Arabidopsis thaliana: one gene and its partners. The protein of the gene in region 1 interacts with the protein of each later gene in a pairwise test. Each region holds a gene or a part of one and is shown in the gene's direction. Other genes may lie near its edges. The genes, in order: AT1G06510, TRX-M4 and TFIIIA.

Region 1 (9,954 bases):
TCATCATAATGCAGCTGCAGCTTGCCTCTGTTTTCTTCACGTTTCAACTGGGAACGAAAGCGCATTACTTTGGAAGGACGATTTTGCATGGAGGCTCTAAGTACCGAGCAACTGGTCGAGGTTTTGTTGTTTTCCATGCGAAGTTTGCAGAAAACTATAGACTATATTCGCGAAGCCATTTTGTTAAGGGACTGGAGTTGGTCATACTACTAGTTGTGTATCAAGTTTATGGAACTTCGTACCGTAGCTCAAGTACTTATATGTACATCACATTTTCAATGTGGTTCCTGGTGACTTCTTGGTTGTTTGCTCCATTTATATTCAACCCATCTGGGTTTGAGTGGCAAAAGACGGTGGACGATTGGACTGACTGGAAACGTTGGATGGGAAACCGCGGTGGCATAGGAATTGTTCTTGACAAAAGTTGGGAATCATGGTGGGATATAGAGCAAGAACATCTCAAGCACACAAATTTAAGAGGAAGGGTTCTAGAGATACTTCTCGCTCTGCGTTTTCTCCTTTACCAGTATGGAATTGTCTACCACCTCAACATCGCTCGCCGCCACACAACATTTCTGGTAAAGTATTTCGGCATATAAGCCATGATACTTCCCTCTTCGATAGCTTTGAAAATTTTAACAACTTTGCCCTTTTCTTCTCTAAGGTTTATGGACTCTCTTGGGCTATCTTGTTGTCAGTTCTTCTCGTGCTAAAGGTAAGGCCCTGAAACTAATCTGTTTTAAGCTTTTACCCACATCAAAACCAGAAAAGAATCTTCAGCCAACTCTATTAGATAGTCTTTGAGGTTTTAGGAAAAGGTTTTGTTTGTCTCTTGACATTTATGATTGTGTCGTTTAATCATTTGACAGATGGTATCAATGGGTAGACGGAAGTTTGGTACAGATTTTCAGGTTATGTTCAGGATTCTCAAGGCACTTCTCTTCCTTGGTTTCTTGTCAGTCATGACTGTATTATTTGTCGTCTGCGGCCTCACGATCTCGGATCTCTTTGCCTCCATCCTCGCTTTCTTACCTACTGGCTGGGCTATTCTTCTTGTAAGCCCACACAACTTTCTTAACTGCCCATAAATAATCTGTTCTTTCCATGAGAAAAATAAGTTTGTAATCCGTTGCTATGTTTTGAAGATCGGGCAAGCGCTGCGTAGCGTGTTCAAAGGATTAGGATTCTGGGACTCGGTGAAAGAGCTAGGGAGAGCTTACGAGTATATAATGGGGCTTGTGATATTCACACCCATTGCTGTCTTATCGTGGTTCCCATTTGTGTCTGAGTTCCAAACTAGATTACTGTTTAATCAAGCCTTCAGTCGCGGTCTGCAGATCTCTATGATTCTCGCCGGAAAGAAAGACAAAGAGACACCTTCCACCAAGTAGTGAGGCTCAAACCGCTCTCTTCTTCTTCTTCTTGTCCAATTTTTCTTTCATCTCCATTCTTTTTCATCTGTTATTACTGTTTACTAGATATGTCTTTGAGAAAATAGAAAAAATGTTTAGACCACCTGAGACTGAGAGAAGACCTCATACTCATAGTAAATGTTGTTCTTCAGCCTAGGCCATACGGAAGAGTCCTTTGGACTTGAACATGATACAAATACCTTTAACCATTATTACCTTTGGACTTGAACATGATACAAATACCTTTAACCATTATTAATCTGTCTATGTAACAAAAGATGTGTCACTCTATTCTTCTTTTTTTCGTTGTCTCTTTTATATGATTAAACAATGTATTGAGGTCAGTGGAAATTACACTTCGATCCTTGTCACTGTTCTAAAACATCTTAAAACCAACTATTGAAGAAGATCACTGAGAAAGTCAGAAAATCCATATAGACCAAAGGAAGCTCCTTTTTGGTATGTATGCATTGCCTCTGTTATCTATTTGCGAAAATCTGAAGATTGGTTTCTCTACCGAGTGTTTTATACTTTGATACTTCATCTAAAGCTCTAGGCTTTTCTTATTTTCCTTGTTTGGATTGTTTGTTTTCGCTCTAGGGTACGCCAAAGAGGACGCTCTCTGAAAAAAGAAGAAGGTAATCTTCGATTCAATGCAGAGAGTTTTATCAGACGCATGAAATTAGGGTTTTAGTGCCACAATTGGGTATGTTATACAGATGAAAATTGGAAAAGGTCTGGACTTTTCTGAAATTCATAACGTTTGAGTCGTTTAGGGAACTGTTATCTAGGCTGTCTAATTCCAGATCTAGTTCCTTACACATTGATTCCAGGAAGTATTGAGCCTCTATGTTTTGATTCTAGAGGCTTCTGGGTCTAATTCACAGATGTAGCAACGTTCCTGTATTATGTCTTTGTACTGTTGATATTTGCGAGACCCTCTTCTCTGTGTGGTTTGGTTTTGTTCAAAAAGAAAACATTCAAGTCTTCTTCTTGATATAATGGTTAAAACTGGTGCTTACTAGTATCGTTTTTCTTTCCCTTTGATTCATGATTCTTTTAATTACAGTGGTTCGTAACATAATCTGAACCCGAGGACACACACACGATGATGCATTCGACGGTGCAGCATGGGGGAAACAAGAGTGGCAAGTCAAATGTATGGGCTAATACTAACTTGGCAAAGACAGTGGCAGCTGTAGATGAGTTCAAATTTGGATTCCCATCAGGCGGGTTAACAACTGTGTCAAACAAATGGTGGGGAAGGGCAGAGAAAGGCGGACGAGAAGATGGTGGAGGAGAGAACACTGAAAATGGACATGTAGCAGCTTGTGATGAGACGCAAAATTCTTTGGTAGCTATTAGGAAAAGAATAGCGGAAGAAGGAAGAGAAGCGGTTGAACTTGGTCTGCATCAAGGATTTGGTTCAAAAAGACCAGGCAAGAGAGATCAAGCTTTGCTGTTTCAGATCTTCAACTCTGCAATGCCAAAGGATTGGGTTACCCCTGATTCTTCCTAAGTTCGTTTGTAGATTTAGAACAGAGCTCCCTCTTAAAAATTATGCTCTGTTATATGTAATCCGCAAGTTCATTAACTCCTGCAACTATGTTATTATGTCTCTAAGTGAACTGGAAATACAACAGGAAGACTTGCGATCTTACGAGTCTACAAAATCATTTCTGTTAATTGCAAAAACATGGGAACAAATAATATAGAGACATAAGAACTGTCCTAGAGCCTTTGGAGGAAAATTAACAAAAACAGAGGTGACGCCGAAAGAGGGATTTTTGCTGGTATACGTCTCAGAAATTGGAACCAAACGTACATGCCTTTGGATGATCTAGGCTTTTCGTGCTCTACTGTGCGAGAAACAAGACATGTTTTCATGTCAAATGCCTGCAATGCGAGGATACAAGAAATTATCATGAAAGAGCTTCAATTGCTTCTCAAAAGTTTCGAACAATCAGCATAATAAGATTCAGATAGCAAGCAGCAGCAGTAAGTCCATCAGGCAAACTAAAGACTTCTCTAACTCCAATCCAATCACCTTCTGGGGAGGCTTAATATCTACCCTAACTAAATGCACAAGAGAAGGTAGGATAATGTTTAAGTAAATGATGGACTTATCCTTTTGTGAAAACATATACTACGAATCATGGGAAACCGTGAAACTTGTTTCAGAGATGAAGATGAGGCCAAACAGCATATTGTATCATAACACTCATCACTTAGAAACCCGCTAATGAAACCATAAGACCAAAGTAGCAAAAAGAACTAGATAAGTACCAAAAATTGTTACAACAATAGCAAAATTAGTGTCAAGGAAACCTTAACAAGCTTAAGGTGTGCGCAAAGAGCATCATCAAGTGTTTTACCTCTGGAAAAGCTCCGAAAAGTAGCGAGTACCGTTGTATAAAACGAACCACATCAAAACAACCACCAAAGAATCTGAAAAGAGTTGAGGAAAGGCAAAGAAGATGCAAGCAAAGATCTTAAGTCCTTGTAAACTAGCAAAAAATTATCTCAATTGACAGTATATTATTCAGTAGAGACTATAATCCAAACTCTGAAGTTGAAGACAAAATTTTAAGAAAGTAGCTTTTTAAAAACAAAATTCTAAAATTGAACAGACACAATGCTTAAGACGACAACACAAGAGAACAGAACACAATGCCACCATATATCACCAAAGATGTAAAAATCAAAACTTGCATCTTTCTAATGAAAGGGTAAATCGAAATTGGAGCACAGATAAACCAAAATCGATGGAGAGAACGAATGAAGCATGGAGGGATAGAGTGAGGAAAAAAGGATACTGAAGAGGTATCGTTCCCACCAATCAAGCATGTAGAGCCCGAATGTGACATTATAAAGGTAGATTTTGCGTTGAACCCAGTTCATATCTTCTGATCGATTCCTACAGTAAGAAGCGGGAGATTACAAATCTGAAATTGACAAAAACCTGATCCAAGATTCAAAATTTACCCGGTAAATCTCTGACAGAGAACTTGACAAAGATATACTAAACAGGATTACAAAGCGCCTGGAGATTCTCGATCTAGGGAACTGTATCTGACTCCAGATTTTGATTGAAGTGTCGTCGTCAAATACAGAAGAGAAATCAAATTTTGACGGAGACGTCAAAGTTGGAAAACTCTGTCACGGTAAATACTAATCTCATCCTCAATTCATTTTCCCACCCCGGTTTAGTCTTAATTACCGGTTTAGATGAACCAGGTATTCAAAATCGGTTTGTAGAACTAACCGGATAACGGAGACTGCAATGTCACAGAACGTGTGCGCTTTGTAAGAAGACCAAACATGGTGACGACGACCATCGGCGGAGTTCCGGTGGTGATTGCTCAGTCTCGGAGGATTCCAACGAGCCTGAGATGCTTCTCTGCCACCGCAAATTCTGACCTTCTTCGCTCCCAGCTTGATCGGCTTCACGCGGAGGCAGAGTCCACTCGTGCCAAAGGTGGAATCTTTATTCGCTAATCTTCGTTTTAATGTGTGATTTCAAAGTCGTAGACTTTGGAAAGATGAGGTGCTGGTTTCAGCATGGTTTTACTGCTTGTGAATCCAGTGATTGATGATGTCAATTTGATTTATTTTTGGTCTTTGTTGTTGTTGGTCCAGCAAACAGTAATAGGTTGAGACTTTTGAGATTATCTGAGGCTGCAGAGAATCTACGGGAACAAGCAGCTGTCAATGTTCGAACAGGGAAAGAGAATGATGCCAGAGATCTACTTCTTCAGAAGAAAAAAGTTATGCAAGCTTTGGACAAGGCTAAAGCTCGTATCGAGTTGCTCGATACGCTTTCTTCCAAACTTAACGAGGTACAAACAAACAATACTCTTACTTGTTAAGAAATGTTATTGTTTTGGTTGTTTGTTTGTTTTCAATTGCCCCAGAAATCTATCTAACTATGTCTTGAAAGCTTGGTTTGGTTTCAGGCAATATCTGTCAAGGAAACACAGCTGATAGGCAATATATCTTTGGATCTCGAAGAGGATGGAGAGAATACTTCAGGTGGTATCCACATTGTATCGCCAAAGCCCGAATCTACTGAAGACGGGGTCGAAAATGACCACACTCACTTGGATTCTGAGGGAATTCAACTTATTGAAAGGAATGTTGAGGATTACCAAGAACTTCTTGATACCAATAATAATGTACTAGAAGATGTTTCAATAGGTAGCATCCTGAAAGAAGTGTCTTCTTATGAATCTTTCTTGGAAAATTTAGACCAGAAACTTAGCAGAATCGAAGCTGAACTAGTTACTGTTGTAAATGTTGCATCCTTGGTGCTTAATCATGAAGATAAACCCAAGAATCTTAAGGTTCAGCAGACTGCAGAAATTCTTGAAGAGATTCGTCGTGTGAGGGAAAGGTAATGCATTCAAAGCATCACTAAGTTTTACTTCTAACACTGCAGAATTACTCAGTCCATTAAGTTTTGTTTTGCTTGTGTAGAATCGCAAATATCATTTGCAAAGAGGCAAACATCAGTTAGTGTGCTTCAAGCATTACTTACCAGCGCAGTGAACTAAAGAAAGGAAGCCACTCTTGGTATGAAAAGTTAATCTAGCAATTTTCCTTTCTTTAATCATTCTGTTTAGACAGGTATAGTCATTTTCTTGGTGTGAATATTAATATCTTCTAAGGTGATACATTAAATTTTGATGTGATATGAAGTTAATATGGTCGTTCACGTTAATGTTGTTGTGATATGGGATCATGATTATTAATGTGATATCAATACTTAGGAGCATCATTAAGTAAATAATAAGTGAATAACATACTATTAGATTAGATGTATACAATTAATATTGATTTCAACTAACTCTGAAATCATTTCATTTGTTCTAGGAATAAAATTAATGGCACTAAAGCGACAGGTTGAGATTATGGACTATACAAATCCAGAAACAAAATCATATAAAGCAAACATTTTCAATACATATCAATGGTCCCGAGTGATAAGAAATAGAAATGATGCCAATGAATCAACCATATAGAATTAAACATCTAAGTCCTGAAATAACAATAATATTTAGCTTTTCAAACAAACAAAAAAACTAATGAAAATTCGGAATAGTTTATCTGACAATGCCTTCATTTCCAGCAAGAACCAAGTACTTATCCCTCCTTGTGAGATTAGTGCATTCAAATCCCAAAACCCTAGCAAGTTCTCCCTGTATGAAATTCGCAACTTCAAAGCTTGACTTGCCTCCTGCACAAGTCATCTCTTTTGGCAACTTCTTTAAAATCTCAAGACAATAAACCGGCCTAGGGTTCATGAGGAAGAAGATAGGGTCTAAACACTTGAGCCCGCTCGCAGTTGTCCCATAGAACATGCTCACTCGAGCATCTACAGCCACGGGAACAATGTCTTCAGTTAACTCAGCGAACAAAGGACTGAACCTTAGTAGATAAGGCTCTCTACATGTGGTTCCCTCCGGACAAACCACTAGATCTCCTTTGCTTAATAGTCTCTGCATTGCCTCACCGTCTTTCTTCCTATCTCTTTTAAGGCTAACCGTCTTGAGAGGTGCTATGAACTCGGAGAACTTGCTTAGGCTGTAAGTAACCGCGGTCAAGGGCTTGCCCAGCGAAGTGGTGAGGAAAACTGGGTCGAGGAGGGTCCTATGGTTGCATACATACAAGACTCCACTATTACCTTTCTCTGGACGACCGTTATTCAAATTATGGGTCTTGAAAGTGATCCTAACACCGGACATAGAAGCCAAGAAATTGGCTACATGGTAAGGAAGAAAGACTCCTACCGAGATCCTGAAGACAGCGAGTAAAAATCCGATAGGGAGCCATATGAACATGGCTAATGTAGCTAATGGTGTTGGCAAGAAAGCCAATCTCCCGTCGTGGAATATCAGTGGCTTTGGGTATCTTTCTCTAGGCAATGCGTTGTTCTTGCTCATGGACTCTTCTTCATTCCAAAAATAAGCTTCCTGTGTGGGAGATTCAGAACAAAAGAAGACGTTCTAAACTTTAATCTATTTTTGTGAAATTTGAAAAGTAACAGATATGACCTTGTAGAAAACTTAAACAAAATTGAAAGTTAGTAACTTTAAGAAGGAAAGGAAATTACTTTGCAAATGGAGATGAAGATGTGATCTTGTGGGCTTGAAGAGCTTCCAATTCCAAGTGCAGGCTTCTTCTTGCTATCAAAAAAGTAGTCTTCAGCTGATTTATGTTTCAGGACGAAACCAGAACCAGAAGCTAGGCCTGTGTAGAATTTCCTTCCCATGACTTTTATTTCTTGCAGTTTAGTCCCAATCACATCATCAGCGTTGAGATGTTCTCTGAGGAACCTCTCCACCAGCACTTGCGGCAAGCTCGTGAACACAACTTTGGAGTACTCAGTTCGAGCCCAGATGTCGTAAACTTGGATATTCAAGTTCTCGAGGAAGAATTTTGGTAGAACCGATCTAGAAACATTGTCCATGTCTTTGACTCTAAGACCAGAGAAGGTTATGAAAGAGAGAACTCTGAGTTTGGTTTCTTGTTGCAGAGTCCAAAGGAAAGAACAGGAGAGCAAGAGAAGGATCGCTCTGATGATCGATCCTCCTTCAAAAGCCACGAGCATGAAGTAAGGGAAGAACGTGTGGAAGTGTTTGCTCGAATGTTGTCTTAATAAAACACCATCGATATCGCAGAAAAAGGTATCACGATAATGATCAGACGAAACAGAGCATGCTCTGTTTTTGTCTAGAAGAAGTTCTTGGTATTTTGTAAGGCTTGGGAACAGAGGGTCTAGAGAATCTTGAAGGGTTTGGTTAGGGTGATTTTGTTGATGATGGTTATGAAGATGATGCTGAGAATTGTTGTGTAGAGATTGTGTTTTGGAGAGGCTTAGGAGATTTTTTAACTGGAAACCATAGCCTCTGAGCTTTCTAGCAGCTCTGTAACATGATTTAGCAAGAAGACGGTAAAGAACCCATTCTGCTAGAATCACGAGAAGCTCTGGTAAAACCATAGCTATGGCGTAGAGAGAGAAGAAGAAGAAAAGTAAATGTGTTGGAGAAGACAAAGAAGTAACAGAGGAGGTTTATATAAGTGAGTGATGATGATAGGCGAGTGCAAAGGTGGTGTGAAGGTTGACCCTTTTTAAAAAAATTTGCTTTTAAATTAACTTCTTCTTTTCTATTTTAATTTTGGTTAACCCACACATCTCTCTCGCATTAACTCAACGACACAACGTCTATAAAGTTTTTATCTAATCTACACTTGAAATTAGAATGTGTGTTTTTGTTTGTTCCCAAGAAGTTATGGTTTTGATGATTATACATATTTAGCATACGTAAATTCAAGATATATATATAAAGAATGAAACAATACATTACCTTATAGTACACACATAAATATAATAAAGCTAGTACCGTATAGTCCAAGGTTATTAATTATCGGCTACGCAAGTACGCAAGACACTTTCTAGTATTATGTTGTGAATGATGCAAGTTGGCCGCTTTATTAAAACTGTTGAATGTTGTTGCGTTGCTTTCTCAGCTTCCACTTGGAGGGCTTTGGGGCAGAGCCATGCTGCATGTGTTAGCAAAAATAAATTAAAAAAAGCAATTGCCCTAGGCCACAAAAAAAAATATGAAACTTACTTTCATCATTAGGTTTAAGTATTTAGTTTTATATAATTTGTTTAGTTAAGCTCTTTTTAAGAATTTCAATTATTATTATCACAAAAAGTTATGAATATTTTGACTATCATATCTTCAGAGAGGAAGTAGGTTAGAAAATTCAATCATGTAATTGAAAAATCTTTCATTTGGGTTTTTTTCCTTACTTATATAAATCACGTCAACCATACTAATCTATTACACTACAATCATTCAAAAACATATCAGTTAGAAGAAAAAAGAAAAGAAAATATTTGCCATTATCTTTAAGACAAAATGTCTTCTTATCCCAGATAAACATAATAATTTTATCAACGAAAAGGTATAACGTAGTCTCAATAAGTCAACCGTTATCCATATATATACTTTCATAGTGGATAGCAGTTAATTTGATCCTAACCTAATCGCAGATTACAAAACTAATATATTTCTCGAATCTAACCAAATGTCTTCAGGAACACAACCATATGTGAACAGGATTACTTAGAATTAACGCGCATGTTATTGTTTTTTTGTATTTTTTTTGTCAATCATTTAACGCGCATGTTTTATAGGTTGATTTTCCCTCAAGTTTCAAAGATTGCACTTTTTTCTGCCAACTCCAAGATATGGAAGAGCTTTAACAAGTTAGGTTACGTAGTTGGTGACAGGCTCTTCTTTATACAAATTTGCATACTTTTCAATGTGCTATGTTTTTTTTTTCCTTTTTGAGTAAACTTTGTTGACGTAAATGAGGAGATCTTTATTATCATCACACATCATCTGAAAGAATGAAACTGAAAATTTGACTTTTTAAAACAAGTTGTGTTGCTCTTATGAAAATATTGAATGATCGTAATTAGTGCATCCAAACAAACGTTTACAATATCTATGGCAACACGATTTTTTAA
Region 2 (10,252 bases), on another chromosome or scaffold:
TTCACTAAAACTTGAGATTGATTGTTTCTGGTGGTTTTTCGAATGCTACAGTATTTTGAAGACTTTGCGTATGGACATTTCTTCAGCTGTGCTCACGACGTGTTGAAGGCGTGTAATGCTTACAGAAACGGAGCTACACCGGGATATCTGGTGAAGGGGGCTCCAGATGTGGAAGAGAATAGCGCGGGCATGAGCTCTCTGAAGTTTAGGACAGATGTGGCTACCTTTGTGGAGACAGTGCTGTTGAAAGAGTTTATTCTTCTAGGTGTCCTTGGTCTCGAACCGGAAGAAGAAGAAAAAACACCTGAGACTATAATCGTTGCAGAGAGTAGCAAATGTACCAGATCAAGGTCCAAGAGAGACAGAGTTTCTTCTAGTTGATCTCCATTGCTCCCTTTTTTTTGTCCTTAATTTTTCTTAATTTCTGAAGAAACCGGTGACTTAATTAGTTTCTCCCTTCTTACAATCATGGATCCTCTTTTTTTCTCTTAACTATGACATAAATCTTAAAAGACTATTGAGAACTGAGAAGTCACTCTCATATGTACAGTTCCCTTTATCAGTCAGATTTATTATAGCCTCAATTTTCTGAGCTACCAGAGAAGTGAGTAAAAGTCAACGATACAAGGTTTGGATTTTGACTTTTAAGCTTTATTATCCCTCCTAATCAAGACAAAAGATGTGAACCAGATTTACTTTACCGACGTGTTGTTGTACTTTCAACTGAAAATCTAAACTACAGTTCTGAAAAAGAGATACGTAAATGTACACGTGTCTATCCACGTGTCAACTCCTACTAAAAACCCTAAACCCTTCCCTCTCTTTATATTAGCCGTCCTAAACTCTTTATCAGTCCCAGTACACTGCGATCAAAAATGGCTTCAGCTTCATCATCGGCGGCGAGATCACTCATCCGCGACGGAAAATCGTTGACGAATCTATTCCTCCGTGGACGTAAGATCAATCTCACCGAGACAGTACAGAACAATGGACCGGCCATTCGATCTCTGCTTTGTTTTAACCAGATGCCGGCGGCTAGCCAATACCCTGTTTACTCTGAAACTTTTCCGGTTATGAAATCCGGTTTACGTGTCGGCTTCGTTCAGAAGGAGGCCGTTTCGGAGAGAGTAGGGAAAATGGAGGCGGCTCATGGAAAGCGAGTGGTGGACAACAAAGATGCTGATTCAGAGGAGGACACGGATTTTGATGAAGACGAGATTGATGACGTTGACTTTGAAGACGATGAAGATTCTGACGAAGATGATGAGGAAGAGGAGGATGACAAGTACACAAGGAAGAAGAAGTAACTCTTCATTCTTCACAAAATGCTTTCTGTTTTTTGTTTGCTTGAGATTAATGGCTTTAGACATAAACCTTCTTTGATGAAATGGTTCTAAAATGACAATTTCTTCTTCTTTGTCCAGTATATTTTTCTTCACATCCCATTTTAACTATTAAATCTGTGGTTTTGGTTATCAATGATATATGTGACATTCGGGGGAAAGAACAAAAAAATTCTCAAACTGACGAAAATGTTGCAACTATCTCAGTAAACTATTAAAATGGTATCGATTAGACGATGGTGATTAGATTATTATAACATCCCAAATCGAGTTTTGTCTTCTTTTTTTTTTCTCTCAAAACAAGCTCAATACTATTTGGAATCGAGTTTTGAACAAGTTTTCTCTAATTTATGTGATCATAACGCTTAGTAATAGAATCCATATGTATTTATGCAAATCTGTTTTAAGAAAAAAAATTACTCTCCAAAGAAAAGTTAAACTATATATAATATAGACACCCTTTCATAAAGTGATATAAGAGTCCAATCCTCAACCTTAACTAATGAAAAAAGAACATGTCCGTCTTCGTAAATAGAATCGACCTTATAGCAGTGCTGCCTAACCGAATTGGTGCGGTGCTGCCTAACCGAAATCAGATGTGCTGCCTAACCGAAATCAAATTTGATAGTCGGTCTACTAAAACAATTGACGGTTTACAGGAGTCCTCTAAACGTTGTCGTTATCTCAAAGGAAAGAATGACGTGGCGAGGATAAAATCGCATTCGCCTCTGTGTGTGTTCTCAAGTCATTCAAATTGTCACCCGTATCTGCCAAAAACCCTCTAACCACTCAAAAAAATATCTCTGCTCTGCTCCAATGGCGTCGTTACTCGATTCCGTCACCGTGACCCGCGTGTTTTCTCTGCCGATTGCGGCTTCGGTCTCGTCTTCTTCAGCTGCTCCGTCGGTTTCACGACGCCGGATTTCTCCCGCCAGGTTTCTGGAATTCAGAGGTTTGAAGTCTTCGCGGAGTTTGGTGACTCAGTCGGCCAGTCTGGGTGCGAATCGTAGAACCAGAATCGCTCGCGGTGGACGAATCGCCTGTGAGGCTCAGGACACCACTGCCGCCGCCGTCGAAGGTAACTTCAGTTTTCTTATAGTACAACTCGTAGATCTGAACCTTAAATCAGTGAGGATTCAACTTCATCATCTATATAATTACTTGGATTGTTAGTCTTTAGTATTATCTGATTTAGTTCTCTAAAACTAGGATTCATAGGGAGTGGATTCTGATAAAACATTGTAGTCAACGTTATTGAATACTCAACTTCTTCATCTATCAAGTTGTTGTATGATCAAACCAGGATTGATTATACAAATTGATAGCAAAGATACTCTGTGATAAGATTTTAGCATATGGTTTAAATAACTCAAGAAAGAACCAGAGTCTTGTTGGCATTGAGCATTGATGTGCTCTGTATACTATTTCACAGAACGGTTCTCTCTGATAGTTGCATAATTTCAATCACCATTGAGATATATCTAACTAGTTTGTTTGATGTTGCAGTACCAAATCTGTCTGATTCAGAATGGCAAACAAAGGTTCTGGAATCAGATGTCCCAGTTCTGGTCGAGTTCTGGGCACCATGGTGTGGACCTTGCCGTATGATTCACCCCATAGTTGACCAGCTAGCCAAAGATTTCGCAGGGAAGTTCAAATTCTACAAAATCAACACTGACGAGAGCCCAAATACAGCAAACCGTTACGGGATACGAAGCGTTCCAACAGTAATCATCTTCAAAGGCGGTGAGAAGAAAGATAGCATCATTGGAGCTGTGCCTAGAGAGACGTTGGAGAAAACTATAGAAAGATTCTTGGTCGAGTAACAAAATTTGACTCTTTTGTCACTCTGAACCATTTTACCTTATCTTCTCTCTTGTAATCTCTGTAAAGTCTTTTAAGTTTTTGACTATTATGTTATCGTGGGTCCTCTTTGTCTTCTTCAATAAAAAAAATGGAAACAAAGTAATCCACCGACGCATGAGAAGCATAACTCCACGTTGAACCACATGCCATTGTTCTTCCTAATTCACCGTACAATCTATATACATACATATGTTTTGAGTAATGTAGGCTTCCGTACTGTTTCATTCTGTGTACTGCATAGGACATATATTAATACCACGAGGGGGTCTATGTAATCTTATATTATATCATGTATGTTTTCGATTTCTAATCCAATTATGTGAGTATATACTATGTGGCATGTCCAAGCCATGTCTTTACTAAACGATCAGGAGAAAACGCGTTTCGTTTTTAAATCAGTTTAGTTGGATTCCCATATTTAATCTCGGATTACACAGGTCATTTCGCGACTAAAACTTAGGAAACTTAGATCTCAAATTCCCAACCTTTGATAGCACCGAATAATTAAGATACGAAATCCTGAACTAAATATACAGCTAGATATCGAAAACGTTTGTCAACTCTGCCATTCTCTTCCATCATTTTCCTCTCGGAACCAAATGTTAGTTACAGTCAGATTACAAGGCAGTTCAATCTCTAACCAGAGCTAAAAATATCATTATCTTGTAGTATTTCAAATACTAGTATTTTGTTATGGGTAATTCTCCTCAGAAACTAAAATGTTGTTACTTAATATGCTTCTATATGGACATATCAAAAATATTTTTCATTAACTACTTCACCAAAAAATAGCTATATGACATTAAAGTGTTTTAGTATTTCAACTAGGAAATTATGTTCCCCTGTGTTTAGACCTATATTCAATTATTATAGAATTTTCAAGAGCAATAAAAAAAGAAAGATCCAACTAAGAAAGATAACGAACACATGCATGAGATTGTGGTGCATGTAAGTGAAAATAAGTCGTAATAATCACCGACAAAACGCGTTAATACTTATTATAGATCCTTATAAAACGAGTCCAAATGTCTTCCTTCTTCTTCAAGCAAATAAGCAATCAATTGTGAACTCAAAGCTTTCTTTTCTCGACCTCTCTTTCTTTCATCACGAAAAATTTATACTTATCTCAAATAAAATAAAAATATATATATATGGATATGAAGGGAACATACTTAGTAACGGTTATTCTCTTGGTTAGTACGTTAAGTGTGGGGATGTGTTCTAACGGTTGGATAAGAGCTCATGCAACGTATTATGGTGTCAATGATAGCCCTGCTTCACTTGGTAAAAAGGCCATTAAACTATTGTTTAATATACGTTTTTGTTACTTCAAAGTTTGTATGGTAAATTTGTTTTTTAGATACAATTTTATAGGAGGAGCTTGTGGGTATGACAATCCGTACCACGCCGGATTCGGAGCACACACGGCGGCGCTAAGCGGTGAGCTATTCAGAAGCGGTGAGTCATGCGGTGGGTGCTACCAGGTGAGGTGCGACTTTCCGGCGGATCCTAAGTGGTGTCTCCGAGGAGCCGCCGTGACGGTGACGGCTACAAACTTTTGCCCAACGAATAACAATAATGGTTGGTGCAATCTCCCTCGCCATCACTTTGACATGTCCTCCCCCGCTTTCTTCCGCATTGCCCGTCGCGGCAATGAAGGCATCGTCCCCGTCTTCTATCGCCGGTAACTTATTCGATGCTATAGGAGTCAATTGCTTTTTTATGCATATAGTGTTCATCCTTTTTGATAAGTTAATAAACTGAAACTATACATTAAAGTATATTTTGGAGTTTTTTTTTTTTCTTTTTAAAATGTAAGGTAGAGAACATTATACAACCCTATCATTATTTTAAGTTATTAACATTATTGTTTAATTTATTTCATCTACATATCATTATTTTGCTATAATGATCATTAGCAAGCTAGGTCATTATATATTATAGCAAAATTTATAAGGAAAGAATGGATGAAGTTTAGATCAACATCACATTATAACATGTACATATACGTACGCTCACAAACAGAAAAAAAAAAAACAAAAACAAGGCCAATCCTTCAAAAGAATCTGGAAAAAGGTTTAAATGGACTTTAGTTAAATAAAAATATAGCATGTAATTACTGTGATATTTATGCAAAATATCTAATAGTTTTGTAATGTGTATATATAGGGTGGGATGCAAAAGAAGAGGAGGCGTGAGGTTCACGATGAGAGGGCAAGGTAACTTCAATATGGTAATGATCTCAAACGTTGGTGGTGGCGGCTCGGTGAGATCAGTAGCGGTGAGAGGCTCAAAGGGAAAGACTTGGCTTCAGATGACCCGTAATTGGGGTGCCAACTGGCAGAGCTCCGGTGATCTCCGGGGACAGAGACTCTCCTTCAAAGTTACTCTGACGGACAGCAAAACGCAGACATTTTTGAACGTTGTCCCTTCTTCTTGGTGGTTTGGCCAAACCTTCTCTTCTCGAGGAAGACAATTCGTTTAACTACAAAACTAAGTCGTGCTCTGGTCAAAACGCAATTCTTTGCTTATTTCTGAACTTGCCCTTGTTTTAATTGGGCAGTGTTCCTTTGTTTCTCTTTTATTGCTAAATAATTTCATGCTTAATTTTATTTAACGGAACGGTTTCTCATTTATGTATGAAGCATTACTCGACAAGTTAAAGAGTTTTGCAGAATTTATATTAATGGAAATAACATTTTTTACAAGTTCATTTGTCAACAAAATTATCAGAGCTAATAGACACCATGAAAAAAGACTATTATCAGATAAAAGCTTCATAAAACACAGATTAGTATATAAATGTAATGTTACATGCTAGCTTTAATTGAAAAAGAACGACATTGTCAGGTACGTAACTTGAAATAACTCTTTATCTTCTTTTTTTTGTCAATGAAATAATTCTTTCTATAAAATAATAATAATAATAATAATAATAATAATTCTTTCTTACATAAAGATAAAATAAATATATAAAAACTATAATAAATAAAACAGAGCAATAAATATATAAAAACAATTTTTAAAAAACAAGGTGCTGGCCCATGCTTTTTAAAAAACAATCTGTTGATTTTTCAAATACAAACTAAATATACTTAGAAAGTTAATTAAATATCACTAAAACCTACTTTTGGGAAGGTTATTAAAAATTTCCCTCCAACTTGGGAAGAATGTTTGTGAGAGATTAACAAAAAATAGATGAAGGTTTCACACCACATTCAGTTCCTTATCAACAGATTGATGTGAGCTTTTAATGAATAAAAAGCTGTTTTCTTTTTGTCATCAATTTCTTCTATACATAACTCTGGTCCATTTTTTATTCATGTTTTAATAATATAACAAAGAAAAAGTGGAATCATTGTATTTTTAATGAAGTGGATGGCGTTACAGTTGCAGTCTTGCAGATCTCAAAGAGAATAAGAACAAAAAAAAGCTTGATTTTAAAATCTATTCAAAAAACAGAACAAAGATTTTTAAATTAGGTTTAATACTAGGATTAAAGGAACCATTTAAAAATGGTCATAAGAAATCTCAAAGCCCATAAGAACCAGACATGGATTCTTTTCATGTGCCATGGATGATATAAGATTGAACAGAAACCATTTAATTTTATCTTTTACCAAAAAGAAAATAACTTTTAAACAGAAAAAGACATAAATACCCTTCAAGTGCTTTCACACTCTCTTCTCGAACAATGAACACAGAGAAAGAGAGAGAGAGAAGACACTTAGTAAAGAAGGTCTGTGTGCTGTTCTCTCCGAAATTCCTTTTTTTGGTCTCGAGGGTTTTTCAGACTGTGAAGAGACATAGCTGTGGCAAAGATGAGAGGACCTTTAGGAGCAGTGATTGGAAGATATACTTCAAGTGATGGGAGTGCTCCAAATGATGGGATCATCAAGCACAATAGAAAGTGCAGAGATATTACGTTTCTCATCATCTTCATTGCCTTTTGGGTTTCAATGATTGTCAATTCCAGCTTTGGTTTCAACCAAGGCAACCCATTAAGGTAATGGTTTTTGCTCCAAATCTCTTTGGACAAACAAAGCGTCCTAGAACCTTAAATGTTTTGCTAATCTTGCTTGATTTTACCTTTTATTATACCAAAGTTTGTACCTTTATATCTGTATTATAAGGTTCCTACTTTTCTTCTGCTTGGTGTTCTTTAGTTAAGAGATTTGGTGTGAACTCAATTTATAGAACATAGTTGTGCTAATTTGTTCAGTGAATTGTGCTGTGTTAATCAAATATCGTTTTTGAGTGGTGATGTCTTATATGAACTGTTATTGCAGACTCACATATGGATTGGACTATGAAGGGAATGTGTGTGGTAGCAAGCATCGTCACCGTGACCTTACTCAACTTGAGCTTAGATATTGGTTAAACCCTAACCAAGTTTATGAAAGTGGTTTGAAAGATGGGGAACTTAAATTGGCTAATGCTAGAACTATTTGTCTCTTGGATTGCCCTGCACCTTCTGATGATACTCTCAACTGGGTATGTGACTATCCTGACGGCGAGATTCGTCTCAAGATGAATGATTGGATCGATAGGAACTATGATTATTTTGAGTTTCTTACTCCAGAAATGAGGAATTCCTCTCTTCAGCTTCAGGGTCCTTGTTACCCTGTAATATTCCCTAGTGTGAATGGTAAGAGGCACACAAAGCTTATTCTTATTTTCTATTCTATTGCTTTTTTGTAACAAGGTTTGTTCTTTTGATTCTTTAGTTTATTGGAGCTGCCAATATATTGCTCGTGCTTCAAATTCATCCTTACGCCACTGGCAGCAGATGGGTGGTGTTAATATTCAAGAGGACATGATCATAGACAAATCAATTAGAAGGTCAATGAACTCTCGTGCCTCAGTTCTAAAGGTTAGAAGGATCCTCTTCTCTATTGACATGTAAACATTTCTTTGTAAAGTGATGATTTTTGAAGAATGCTCTAAGCTTTTTTGTTGGTTGTCAATCGTAGCGTTATGTGGCTGATATTGGGAAGTCATGGCCAGTATTGATCGTTTGTGGAGGCCTTGTTCCACTGTTTCTATCCATTATTTGGCTGCTTCTTATTCGACATTTTGTTGCCGCCATGCCCTGGATAACTGTTGTCCTTTTCAACATGCTCTTAATATCAGTCACAGTGTTCTATTACCTGAAAGGTTGGTTAGGAAATCATATTTCTATTGTATGTCTCTATGTTTCAAGTCATATGGACTCAATATACTTATTACACTTTTATATCTTTTGTAGCTGGATGGATTGGGAATGATGCTGTAACACCTATTATTGGTGAGCATGACCCATACTTTCATGTGTATGGTCGAGTAAGTTTACATTCTCAGCCTTAAGCTGCTTTCACATTCACTAAATTATGAGACCATTAGTCCCATTTTCTTCCAAGCTTATTTACATTTGCTGCTTATTCCTCAGGAACTGACTCATGTTCGTGGAGTTGCCATTCTGATGACTTTTATCTCTGTTGTTGCTATTCTCACTTCAATTGCCATTATCCGCCGAATTCTCATGGCAACATCAGTCCTCAAGGCGAGTATTACTTTCTTAGTCACTTGGTGACCAGTTTGGTTTATGCTAGAAAGGTCATTTTGCTGTATACTTGTGAAATCCAGGTAGCTGCTAAAGTAATTGGAGAAGTTCAAGCGCTTATTATATTCCCGGCTATACCGTTCGCGATGCTAGCAATATTCTATATGTTCTGGATATCAGCGGCTCTCCATCTCTTCAGTTCTGGTCAAGTTGTTCAGAACAACTGCAACAACACTAACTGCTGTGCGTATGATCTCGTGTTAAAGAAAGTTAATTGTGACCGTTGTTGCGGTTATAGCATACATTACACCCCTCACATCACCATTGCTATATTCTTCCACCTGTTTGGTTGCTATTGGGCTACACAGTTCTTCATTGCATCTTCTGCGACAGTGATTGCTGGCTCTGTTGCCTCCTATTATTGGGCTCAAGGGGAAGCATCGGTAAGCTAAACAATTCTGAGCAAATATATGAAACTGTAGATTATTATTATGTGTTGATTCTGGTTTTATGGTTGAACAATTCAGCCAGAGATACCGTTTCTTCCTGTTTTCGCATCAATGAAGCGGCTTGCACGCTACAACCTAGGATCCGTGGCTCTTGGTTCACTCATTGTCTCTTTTGTTGAGTCTGTTCGGTTCATTCTCGAAGCAATTCGTCGTAAAACAAAAGTAAGCGGGACCATACCTGATCACTGGTTTTGGAGAATGGCTCATTACACTTCACGTGGTTGTCTCAAAAGTGTGGAGTGGACCATCAAATCGGTTAACCGTAATGCCTACATAATGGTAACAGAAAATCTCCTTCTTTTAGATCCCATTCTTTGAACCATTTCTTGATAGATTGTCTGTCTCTCGGTCTCTTTTCAGATTGCTATAACAGGGAAAAGCTTCTGCAAATCGTCTGCAATCGCGACAGAGCTGATCATAAGCAACATTCTGAGGATAGGGAAAGTTAATGTGATAGGAGATGTTATATTGTTTCTAGGAAAGCTTTGTGTGAGTCTCTTCAGTGCTCTCTTTGGCTTCTTGATGTTGGATTCGCACCGATATCGTGCTTCTCACAACAAAGTCTCATCCCCGCTATTACCTGTTTTGGTAAAATCCTTTTCCTTGCTCTCTAGACTCAATTGTAAATACAAAGACAGATGTTTTTTTTTTTAGCTTAAATAGGTTTGCTTGCTTGTGACTCTCTCTATGCACAGGCATGTTGGGCATTGGGGTATATTGTGGCAACACTTTTCTTTGCGGTGGTTGAGATGTCGATAGACACCATCATTCTCTCCTTCTGTCAAGACTCAGAGGAGAATCAAGGGAATGCTCAGCACGCACCACCTCTTCTGCTTGAAACTTTAGATAGCAATCAGGAGGAAGAGGTTCAGAGTCTTACTCACTGATAGATCCATACTGTATAAGTTTTGTTTCTTCTTTGGTTGGCCGGTTTATATGGTTTTTTAAAATAGAATCTTTTATCTCTACAACATTCTAAGCATATTGTAATG
Region 3 (10,784 bases), about 25 Mb from region 1:
CTTTCACTTCCAATCAAAGTAAAAAAAAATATATCTGTCAGATTATCATTATTACAGCATCAAACAGCCAGCAAAAGAGGAAGACACAGAAGACTTAACCATAACGATAAGACTTGTGGCTAAGATCCAAAGGGAGAAAGAAAAACTCTCTTGCAAAAGCAGAGTTTGAGAATTCATACAAATTATTCAAGCTGTGAACAAGAGCATCCTGAGGGACTTAACCAGATTGAGTCTTCCTCTGCTGGAAAACGACTGCGAAGATAGGAACCCCAACACCGATGCTGAAAGCGGTGAATACACCGAGAGACATCTTGAGAGCTTGGTACTTCATGCGGTCCAAATTGTACATGTGTTTTGCGTGGAGGTAGTATTCATCGTAACCACCATGTCCTCCTCCGCTCATCTTCTTAACTCCAGTCGAGTGGAAGCTTCTAGTCACTGTTGTTGATGATATCAAAGAAATCTTCAGCAAGTTTTGAAATATTACCAATCAAACACTCATAAATCATCTTATAGCCCATTTAGTTTCAAGAGATACATCAAAACAAGCTGATCATAGCATGAACATGGAGCCTTTCACTGATCAACCAAAACTATCAAAACACGAACATGGAAAATTTCCATGAAACAAGGAAACATCAAAATATGCATTTCTAATTTCATGATACAATTTTTCAGCCTAATCATAAACAATCTGTTTCGCATCACGCCATTAAAGCGTGTTTCTATGACAAATTCGCGAGCAGAGAAGTTTCAAATCCCAGAATTCAATCAACGAAGAATCGCATCGGAATCAATCCGCGGCTAATCAGAAACATTGATATCTAGGCAATCAAACAAAACCTTAGAATAATCGATTCCTGGGAAATCAAACAAAACCCTAGACAACAAAAAAGGGGAAAAACAAAGAAATGCAAAACCAATTCAGCAGATACTTCTATTGGTACTGACCAGATCTGGAGACTGATGCTTCGGAAGAAGCAATGATCTTAGATACAGATCTGATGCTGGTGCTCAACGCCATGATTCAGAACTAATCGAGAAATTGCAAATGATGAACGACTTCTCTGGAAATTTTACGGCGAATTTGTTTTGGGGAGGAGAGGAGACTGAGAAATGAGAGATGATATCACACGTGCAAAGCGACATCTTCTTTTGGGCCAGGCCCATTTACTCTTACACAAGGCCTTTATTTAACTGTGTTGTTCAAATATTTTTGTTTTAAGTAAAAGCTGACAAAAATGTTCAGAAAAAAAAAACTTTGGGAATTTTCTTAGGAATCATATAACATGTCAAAATAAAAATTCATGTCACTTTCTTTGATGAACATGAAATATACTAATTTTTGCTTGCAAATCTCCACGTGTAGAGTCACCATTTGTCCACGTAGCTGAACTATTTTATCTTTTCTAACCCCAAAAAAATCTCTGGATGGTCATGAGCTAGCGATGATTCTTAACCACAGAAAACAGACGATGGAAGCAAGAAGCGTATCTTATCTCTACGTTTCATATTAAAGCGCATGAAAACGAACATAATAAAGATTCTCTTTTTTTTTTTTGAAAAATGCTAGAAAAATAAACATGGGTCACTTGCCACAGAGCCTCTACTCCGCCGCTGGACCAAAGTTTCCATATCCTGGAAGCTCCGGTCTAGGAGTAGATCAACGGAAGCTGACGTGGAGCCGCTTCCCGGTGTTCCTACGGTGCGCGTCGACGGAGTCGTTAACGAGTTTGACTCAGAATAATGCGGCGGAGATAGAGTTGAAGTATCTGGTGAGTCAACACGGGTGGGACGTGAGGAGATTGAATAGAGACGACGAGGATGAGATCAGGAGAGTGTCTCTTGTTCAAGCCGAAGCTTTCCACATCCCTCTTGCTCTTTTTGATGATTTTTTCTTCATGTTTTTTCAGGTTTGTTTATTTTTCATTCTCATATATGATTTACATTGAAGATTATTGTTTTGATGTATATGAAGATTTTGATAATATGTAATACAGGCAGAGGTTCTATCAGCACTTCTTTACAAACTAAAGAATTCACCACCTGACAGGTAAAACAAATAACATAACATAATTTCTTTAAGACTAGTTTTTAAATGTGATTAATTATAAAAGTTTTAAGAATTTGGCAGATATGCATGTCTCGTGGCGGAGCAAACAAGTGAAACTGAAACTTTGTCGAGCTCAAGTGTTGTCGGAGTAGTTGATGTAACAGCTCAAACTGAAAGTTCAGTACTTCGCTATTTTCCGGGCGTCGAAGAATATCTATACGTCTCGGGTTTAGCTGTCTCAAAATCTCAAAGGAGAAAGAAGATGGCAAGTACATTGTTAAAGGCATGTGATGTTTTGTGTTACTTGTGGGGTTTCAAGCTTCTTGCTCTAAGAGCTTATGAAGACGATGCAGCTGCTAGAAATCTTTACTCGAATGCCGGCTACAGTGTGGTCGAGACTGACCCGTTGTGGACCTCTACTTGGATAGGCAGAAAACGTCGCGTTCTTATGAGTAAACGCTTTTCTTAGGCGTTTTCTTCATGTACATTTTGGTTAAAACAATAAACACACTACCATCTAATTGGATACAGAGTAAATGTGCAGAAACATGAACTGAACTGAAATTTTAGACGACCAACAAGATTTCAAGAAACAAATTATCCAGAGACCAAACTTTTATACAAAAGGGTTAAACTAAACGGTGGCACGACCATGTTTTGTTTCTACATCTAAGATGGACAAAAGCGGCAGCAAACGTTTTTTTCCTAAATAAACGATATAAAAGCCGATCGAAACTATTGACATTCAATAACCTGACACGCTCCCTTGGAGCCAACAAAAACAGAGTCAGTGAATGGACAGTCACGCAGACGGTCTAGTGAGGAGTGACTTGAGATCTAGAGGCGGGAGATCTAATCCCGGGACATGATTGCCTGCTGGTCCCATCCAGAGACCTCCATTCTGATGTGGTAGCAGTACCGGCGACTGACTGTTGCTCTTCTCTGTAGATGTTTCTTGCTTCTTCTTCACAAACTCAAAGAACTCAGCGACCTGGCGTGCATACCTTTTAACAACATCAATCAAGAAAGTATCTATTAGATTTATGATTCCAAATAAGTTATGGTGACATTACAGTAGTGTGAGCACTTACTGTGTCTTTGCTTCAATATCCCGGCTGAAGTCGATATTGGGTTCACAGTCCAAAACCAGAGCAGGGACCTGTTACAACCAATGAACCAGTCTAAGCAAAATCTATCTTCAGACTTTTAGCACAAAGAATGCAAAAAAGAGATAAGTTTACCTTCTGGATACTAGAATGCATATGATTTCCTTCCAAGTAAAAGACACGGTCCTTTATATCAGGATGCAGAGAGTTGTCCATGTGTAAAGATGGTCTACTAACAGACAATACACCATGGTTTCCGCTCTCAAAGGGAAGCAGCCAGCTCTCGTGCTTCTCGTGCAAATCTTGGAGGTATTTCAGAGAGACTCCGCCTTCTTCTGCTCGTTTCCTGAGCATCATTCGCTTGTGGCAAGTGTCTGGACTCGCCCTTAAGTATATAAACCCATCAGGAACAAGTCCAGGTAAAGAAGAGACAACCGGATCAAACCAAGAGTCGTAAATGCTGATCTCCATCTCATTCATCCATTTCGCTTCATGAACCGCACGCACAAACACCTAAACACCAAATTCCACAACATATTAAGTTTCCAATCACACATTTCAAACTATAAATTTTAATAACGTTGGCTTTAAAATTACCATTCGGTCACTGAAGACACTCCTTTCCATCAACCTGAGAGGTTTAACCCCAGAAGCAGACTCTTTCTCCTGCATCAGCCGAGTGACAAACACATAGTTCTGGAAAGTATAAGCATACCTCTGAGGCTCAGAGTAGAAAGCATCCAATATATTGAAATGGTCAGGTCCAACATCTTGCCACTTATCAACTGGCTCAGGAACAATCTCAACAAGGTCTTGTAACTCAACAGTCTCATTCGCTATCCTCTGAAGAAAAGTTGATTTACCAACACTGATGTTCCCTTCAACACAAAACGTCAAACGTTTCTTCACATTTAGATTAGGTTCAGGGCCAGAATCCTTAAGCTCATCATCCACACTCTCTTTAATAAACGTTGTTATACTCTCCGCATGGTTTCTATGTATAATCCCAACAGAGCTCCTAAGATAATCAACCATCTTCTGACTAGCCTTCCAAAACTGAGATTACAAATCAACCAACCAAAAATAAAGATTGAAACTTTCAATACTTGTCTCAAAACCCGCAAGTTAAAAATTGAAGATTCAAAAGTACCTTATCCTTATAAAGCTTCTTGAGCTCTGCAACATCACCAATCCCATTATCAACAAGCTTTCTCTGATTCCTTAAACCAACTCCAGGAATCTTCAGCAAATCTGGATTACCAACAAACTCACCACTTCCACTAGAGCTCCGGTTTCTACGGTTCATCCTCACAGGCTTCTCATCTTTCTCCTCGTCTTCATCTTCTCCGTCAGACTCTTCCTCGCTTTCAACCACTGCTCCAGCAGTAGCATTAACCGGGGTTAAACCACCAGTAGAGTCTGAACAAAACAACGCACGCCAAGACCCAGTTCGACCAACCCAAGCCCGGTTCGTACCGTCAATTGAACACCGGCAAGTCCGGTAACCAGCTGTTGAGAACCGAACAGACGCCGGTGCCGGTTTATGAACAGTCCTCTGTAGATAAGCAGAGAAACCAACACCGCCTGAAGAAACAGAAGCCGTTGTGGTCGGCATAGCGGAAGTAGAGAAGAAACAAGTGGAGAGAGGTTTAGTAGTAGAACAAGGAGGGAGATTTTTAACGGGGGTCTTAAACCCTAGAGAGATAAAACCGGCGGCGAGAGAGTTCACCGGCGTAGAGAGAACAGGGGTTGAAGAAGTGGTACTTTTGCACAGAATCTTCTGCATCGTTTCCGTTTACACGAGCATTTCACATCACTCAGAGAAATAGAAACCCTAGTTTCAGAGAGAGAAGGGGATAACAAAAAAGAGGGCTTTTGTGTGGGTTTTGGTTTGGCGCAAAGACAGAGGAAGAAGAAGAGAGAAAGTTGCGTTTTAGGGTTTTTAATTTTATTGATTAAAATCATTAATTTCAATTTTGTGGTGTGGTTAATTATTTAATTAATTAGAAGATATGATTATGGGATTAATACGTTTTTTAATAAATCGTTATGGGGAAAAAATGTTAAAAAATGGTGATGTGTCCTGTCCTTGAGGTGTTATTTGTCATCTTTACGAAGTTGTGTAGCACACATGACACGTGCGGATAACAAATAAGTACATAATCATTTTTTTATTGTTTAAAAAAACGCTTGTTTTTGAATTGGACTGGTTTTTTATTTGGGCCTACCCTTTGTTAAAACGATGACCTAATTGAGCTTATCGACTGTAAATTTTTCAAAAATGTTACAGATGCAGGGCCCATTAGATTTAATGGACCGATTGTGACGTTTCAAATTTGTTCCCTTTTTTCCTGGCACAAGTCTAACTTTTCGTTTTGCAAAGATCCCTTGTCTATTTTCTACTCGATTTTGCAAATTTGTTGTAATTCTAATTTAAATTTGTTATATGGGCTTGAAAGGCCCATTATACAATTAGAAGCCCAAGTGTTCTAGGTTAGATTTCTCACTCCCGGAAAAAAGAAGCTGATATATAAATGGCCATTGTTACTTCAGCTTCTACTGTGCGGCGTCTTGATGGAGGAGATAAACCCTAGTTCTTCTGTAGACAATAAGAGAGACATGGCGGAAGAAGCTAAAGTTGATGTGAAGACTTCGGCGAAGAAGGATATACGCAATTATCTATGCCAGTATTGCGGAATCAGCAGATCTAAAAACTATCTCATCACTAAACACATCCAATCTCATCATCAGGTTTGAGATCTTCCTCCAATTCGATTCCAATTTCTCATCCGTGGCATCTTGATTTGTTTTCAATGAAATTGAGAGTTGAGTCTGTAGAATCGGCGATGGTTTGTTGAATTGAGAGTTTCTATGATTCGTTTGTTTAGATGGAACTTGAAGAGGAAAGAGATGATGAAGCTTGTGAGGTTGATGAGGAGTCTTCAAGTAATCATACTTGTCAAGAATGTGGTGCTGAGTTTAAGAAACCTGCTCACTTGAAGCAGCATATGCAGAGTCATTCGCTCGAGGTAGATTTATGCATCCTCTTGTCATGAGAAGTCGAATTGTTCCCATTCTGTGTGTTGCAGCTACAGATGGAGATACATAGAGATACTCGTGGATTTTGCTTAGTGTTGAGTTTTGTTCTGGTTGTGAACTAAAAGTTTATACATTTGCAGGAAATAAATAGCCTTTTGTTTAAATCAAAAGGTCTTACCTATGTTATTGCGTGAGGCATTGGATCCCAAAGAGAGAACTCCAAAATGCGAGGCTACATGTTATGGACTAGTATCAGGTTGGGAGACCTCCTGAGAAGCTCCAGCAAGTAAGCCTCGATCACGCAAAATGTTTGAGGTCTGATGTTCAATAGCTTGTTTTGTTTCACTTTGCTTTGGACTTTCTTTTCGCCAATGAGCTATGTTTCTGATGGTTTTCACTCTTTTGGTGTGTAGAGATCTTTTACTTGCTATGTGGATGATTGTGCTGCTAGCTATAGGAGGAAGGATCATCTCAATAGGCATCTTCTTACACATAAAGGGAAGCTCTTTAAGTGTCCGAAGGAGAACTGCAAGAGTGAATTCTCAGTACAGGGAAATGTTGGTAGGCATGTTAAGAAATATCATAGTAATGACAACCGTGATAAGGACAATACTGGTTTGGGCGATGGTGATAAGGACAATACTTGTAAGGGGGATGATGATAAGGAAAAATCTGGTAGTGGCGGTTGTGAGAAGGAAAATGAAGGGAATGGCGGAAGTGGTAAGGACAATAATGGTAATGGCGATTCTCAGCCTGCGGAGTGTTCAACTGGTCAGAAGCAGGTTGTCTGCAAAGAAATTGGTTGTGGAAAAGCCTTTAAGTATCCTTCACAGCTTCAAAAGCATCAGGATTCTCATGGTAAGTGCACCTTCCTACCCTTACTTTCCCTCTAGTTTAGTATCCTGGGCATATGAAGATTTCTACGTTTCCTCTCTATGTGCTTTGTTATAAATTAAAGACAGTTGTTTGTTAAAGCTTGATAGATTTTCAATCTCTGAAGGTTTAGATTTACATTTGCAGTGAAATTAGACTCTGTGGAGGCATTTTGTTCCGAGCCTGGGTGTATGAAGTACTTTACCAACGAAGAATGCCTCAAGTCACACATAAGATCCTGTCATCAGCACATCAACTGTGAGATATGTGGTTCTAAGCATTTGAAAAAGAACATCAAGAGACATCTACGGACTCATGATGAAGATTCCTCACCAGGAGAAATCAAGTGTGAAGTTGAGGGTTGCTCTTCGACTTTCTCCAAGGTAAAGAAACATCCTGAGCTACGTCAAACTTATATAGTCCAAAACAAGTTTCGTTTCCAGATTATTCAACATCACTAATTACATTACGATTATTTCTCAGGCTTCTAATCTTCAGAAACACATGAAAGCAGTGCACGATGATATACGTCCCTTTGTCTGTGGCTTTCCCGGTTGTGGCATGAGATTTGCTTACAAACATGTCAGAAACAAGCACGAGAATTCCGGGTATCACGTATATACCTGCGTAAGTTCATCCAACCTACATACTATCGTGTTTTTCTTACAAACTCAAAAGACTAGAATCTCATGTAAAACTGAATGTGGTTTCAGGGTGATTTTGTCGAAACTGATGAAGATTTCACTTCAAGACCGAGAGGTGGACTAAAGAGGAAACAAGTTACTGCGGAAATGCTGGTACGAAAGAGAGTCATGCCTCCTCGGTTTGATGCAGAAGAACACGAAACTTGCTAGTAGTGTCCAAGCCTTAATTATATTTTCTGTCTTAAGATAAGTGAAGTAGTTTTGTGTAAAGTTCTTTTTGTTTGTGTGTTGGTAGGAAGAAATATAGAACTACAATAGTAGGTAGTAATATAAGTAATGTTGTGCTTAGAATCTATGTTCGTTTAACCTTTTATCTCCCACGGCTTTAATGTATTGAACCCAACGTTTGAGATATAAGTAATGTTGTGCTTATAATCTATGTTCGTTTAACCTTTTTATCTCCCACGGCTTTGATGTCTTGAACCAATGTTTTTAAAACTGACCCAAACAGTGAACCGGACTACCTTTTGGGTAAATATTAATAGAGATTTTACAATTTTTATAAATAGAAAACAAAATAATCATATTATGTTTAATAGAAAACAAAATAATCATATCATGTTTAATAAAAAAATATAAAATCATATTATGTTTGATAAAATATAAAATCATTTACACCAAAAAAACATATATATATATATATAAAATCAAACAATAATAAGAAAGTGATTAAAAATTTTAAATTCAACTAAATGTCTAACATCGTAACAAATATAATAGAAGATCACTAATGATAGAAACAAATTAATGAAATATCGTGAATTCAAACAACTAATCTCATTTGCATATATCACCATTCGATTCATTTTTAAGGCCGCATTGTGAAATCTTCACCAAAATCTAAAACATCAAATGAGTTTAAGAACTAAAAAAACTTATAAAAATAATTGAAGAAAGTTTAAAATCCCACATTTTATTCCAAAATGAAGAGAATTTTTTAAAACCCACATCCGGCCGGTTCAACCGATTCACCGGGTCATGGATTAATGGCGAATTTTTGTGGGTTTTTTCGGTTTTGAATTTGTCGGGTTTTAGCACTAAACCCAAACCGGAAAAGTGTTCGGGTCACGAGTTAACTGGTCGGACCGGGCGGTTCGGGTCGGGCGTGAAAACACTGTCTTGAACCCAACATTTGAAGATAAGCTTTATGGGATGAGATAAACTCCAATATTCAAGTCTCTCTTTGCGTCTCATATTCAAACTGTAATGAGATAACATTTCATTACAGTTTCAAGATAAGCTTTTGGATGAGATAATGATCTCTTAGTGGTTTAGTCAAAGTAAACAAGACTTTGACTGTTCAACTTCAACCCAATCAAGAGTCAACGGTCGGAGTTATTCAAAACACTAGTTTTTGAATTTAGTAGCTTCATCTATATATAACCCAGGAGAAGCAGAAATCTTCCAAGAAAGAAATGGTTACATACAAGATTTGGGTGATGTCTTTCATCATAGCAGGTTCAACTTATAAAAAAGGAATTCCTCTCCTCAATTTGGTTAGCAATTACACAATCAGAAATTTAATCAAATTTTGTGTTTCATTGTTTTGAAAAATCCACTAGGAGCTATTTTAGGAGGAATAATCCCTGGAGTTACTACAACAAAGACAGCGATCGCGTGTCCTCTCTATTGCTTACAAGTAGAGTACATGACATGTCCTTCCTCCGGCGCTGACAAGCTTCCTCCAAGATGCAACTGTTGTCTTGCTCCCAAAAATTGTACTCTCCATCTCTCTGATTCTACTACTATCCATTGTAGCAAATGATATATATCTAGTAAGAAATACCTGATGGTATCCCTCCTTCGAATCCCATCCATTCCTCCCACTCATCGATTTCACCCATTTCTGTAATCTCCATTTCTTCTTCTTCTTTCTTAAACTTTTGCATCAAACACTGAAAATGTGATTAATATAAGGAAAATGGTTTCAATTACGTTTTACCATGGCTAATATTAAACACCACATATTCAAAAAGTTAAAGATAAGAAAGAATCAAAATCAGAAAAGCAAACAAAATACGGGTTTGTATTTTTTATTCTTAACTTAGAAATTTTTTGTCCAAAACCAAAAAAAAACTTAAATAATCCAAAAAAAATCAAGAAATCAGAAAAACATTTTTTTGTTTTACCTCGTAAGCGGATTTGATCTCCTTGAAATCTTTGTCCTGACCCTTGTGAACATCTGGATGATACTGCAATAACTCATTTTGTCTTATTTAGTTATAATCCTTCTTTTTATTTTCTTGATTTGATTCGTCAAAAGGTTTTGAACTTTCTTTTAAAAAAAAATTAAAAGCGTAATAAGACGCAAAAGGGACAAACAAGAATTAACAACCTTTAGAGCGAGACGTTTAAAGGCACGTTTGACTTCGGTTTGGGAAGCGAGAGGAGTCAAGCCAAGAACCGTGTAATGGCTAAGATCTGGTGATAAACAACATCTTGTCGGAAACTGGATTAACCGGCGGCTATCAGTTTGGATGGTGGAACCAGGGTGATTCGTCGGAGCTTTGAACCGGAAATTTCGTATCATCGTTTCTTCTTCTTCTTCTTCACCAACCAAACATTTTAGGTTTATAACAAATCTTTTTTTCTTTCCCTTTTTGTGGGACTTTGGTGAAGGACCCTTTTTTATCTTGTACCCGACGGTATGGTCTATTGGATATCCTATTATCCGATTCACATTCCGATGTCATGTCGGTGTTTATTTATTTATTTTTATATTTATGTGTTCCTTTGTTCTCGGTTTTGTTACTAGCTAGGACGATATAACATTATATGTGTTAAAACCTATATTGTTTTGTGTAAACTATATTCTGATTTAAAAATTAAATTTCGTCCCATAAAAAGATTGAATCCGAGATACTTAAATCAACTTCATGATATTAATTATCTCTAATCTACCCACCCTTTTTTTTAATGTATTTCTCACAATAACCATAAGTAAATTTACCGATAATATGCACATGTGCTGAGGTGAATTGTGACAACTATGAGATATTTTTCTCCAAA

The links.
Region 2: the proteins of AT1G06510 (region 1) and TRX-M4 interact in a two-hybrid assay, tested with the Arabidopsis thaliana proteins (one large-scale study listed by BioGRID).
Region 3: the proteins of AT1G06510 (region 1) and TFIIIA interact in a two-hybrid assay, tested with the Arabidopsis thaliana proteins (one large-scale study listed by BioGRID).

What each region holds. Positions count from the first base shown.
Region 1 is NC_003070.9:1,987,656-1,997,609, forward strand, and holds AT1G06510 (forkhead-associated domain protein), read left to right. Parts: upstream 1-4,573; 5' UTR 4,574-4,733; coding exon 4,734-4,890; intron 4,891-5,051; coding exon 5,052-5,251; intron 5,252-5,368; coding exon 5,369-5,805; intron 5,806-5,888; coding exon 5,889-5,928; 3' UTR 5,929-6,186; downstream 6,187-9,954. Other genes in the region: CalS7 (glucan synthase-like 7), read left to right, coding at 1-578, 665-715, 870-1,055, 1,146-1,390, 1,565-1,640; AT1G06500 (uncharacterized protein), read left to right, coding at 2,521-2,931; AT1G06515 (transmembrane protein, putative (DUF3317)), read right to left, coding at 3,296-3,308, 3,788-3,860, 4,229-4,313; GPAT1 (glycerol-3-phosphate acyltransferase 1), read right to left, coding at 6,515-7,384, 7,525-8,412.
Region 2 is NC_003074.8:5,186,289-5,196,540, forward strand, and holds TRX-M4 (thioredoxin M-type 4), read left to right. Parts: upstream 1-1,952; 5' UTR 1,953-2,159; coding exon 2,160-2,421; intron 2,422-2,849; coding exon 2,850-3,169; 3' UTR 3,170-3,548; downstream 3,549-10,252. Other genes in the region: UBC25 (ubiquitin-conjugating enzyme 25), read left to right, coding at 52-381; AT3G15357 (phosphopantothenoylcysteine decarboxylase subunit), read left to right, coding at 876-1,307; EXPA12 (expansin 12), read left to right, coding at 4,361-4,893, 5,379-5,694; AT3G15380 (Plasma-membrane choline transporter family protein), read left to right, coding at 7,031-7,215, 7,499-7,857, 7,937-8,082, 8,183-8,366, 8,458-8,531, 8,638-8,751, 8,835-9,194, 9,279-9,539 and 2 more.
Region 3 is NC_003070.9:27,109,304-27,120,087, forward strand, and holds TFIIIA (transcription factor IIIA), read left to right. Parts: upstream 1-5,717; 5' UTR 5,718-5,733; coding exon 5,734-5,910; intron 5,911-6,047; coding exon 6,048-6,188; intron 6,189-6,338; exon of another isoform or gene 6,339-6,504; coding exon of another isoform or gene 6,505-6,513; intron 6,514-6,611; coding exon 6,612-7,056; intron 7,057-7,218; coding exon 7,219-7,454; intron 7,455-7,554; coding exon 7,555-7,698; coding exon of another isoform or gene 7,699-7,784; coding exon 7,785-7,925; 3' UTR 7,926-8,206; downstream 8,207-10,784. Other genes in the region: AT1G72020 (TonB-dependent heme receptor A), read right to left, coding at 218-438, 952-1,024; AT1G72030 (Acyl-CoA N-acyltransferases (NAT) superfamily protein), read left to right, coding at 1,584-1,913, 2,001-2,053, 2,135-2,522; dNK (P-loop containing nucleoside triphosphate hydrolases superfamily protein), read right to left, coding at 2,856-3,057, 3,145-3,212, 3,295-3,672, 3,757-4,215, 4,310-4,945; AT1G72060 (serine-type endopeptidase inhibitor), read left to right, coding at 9,191-9,233, 9,338-9,540; AT1G72070 (Chaperone DnaJ-domain superfamily protein), read right to left, coding at 9,548-9,670, 9,905-9,967, 10,111-10,305. UniProt on the Arabidopsis thaliana protein: Essential protein. Isoform 1 is a transcription activator the binds both 5S rDNA and 5S rRNA and stimulates the transcription of 5S rRNA gene. Isoform 1 regulates 5S rRNA levels during development.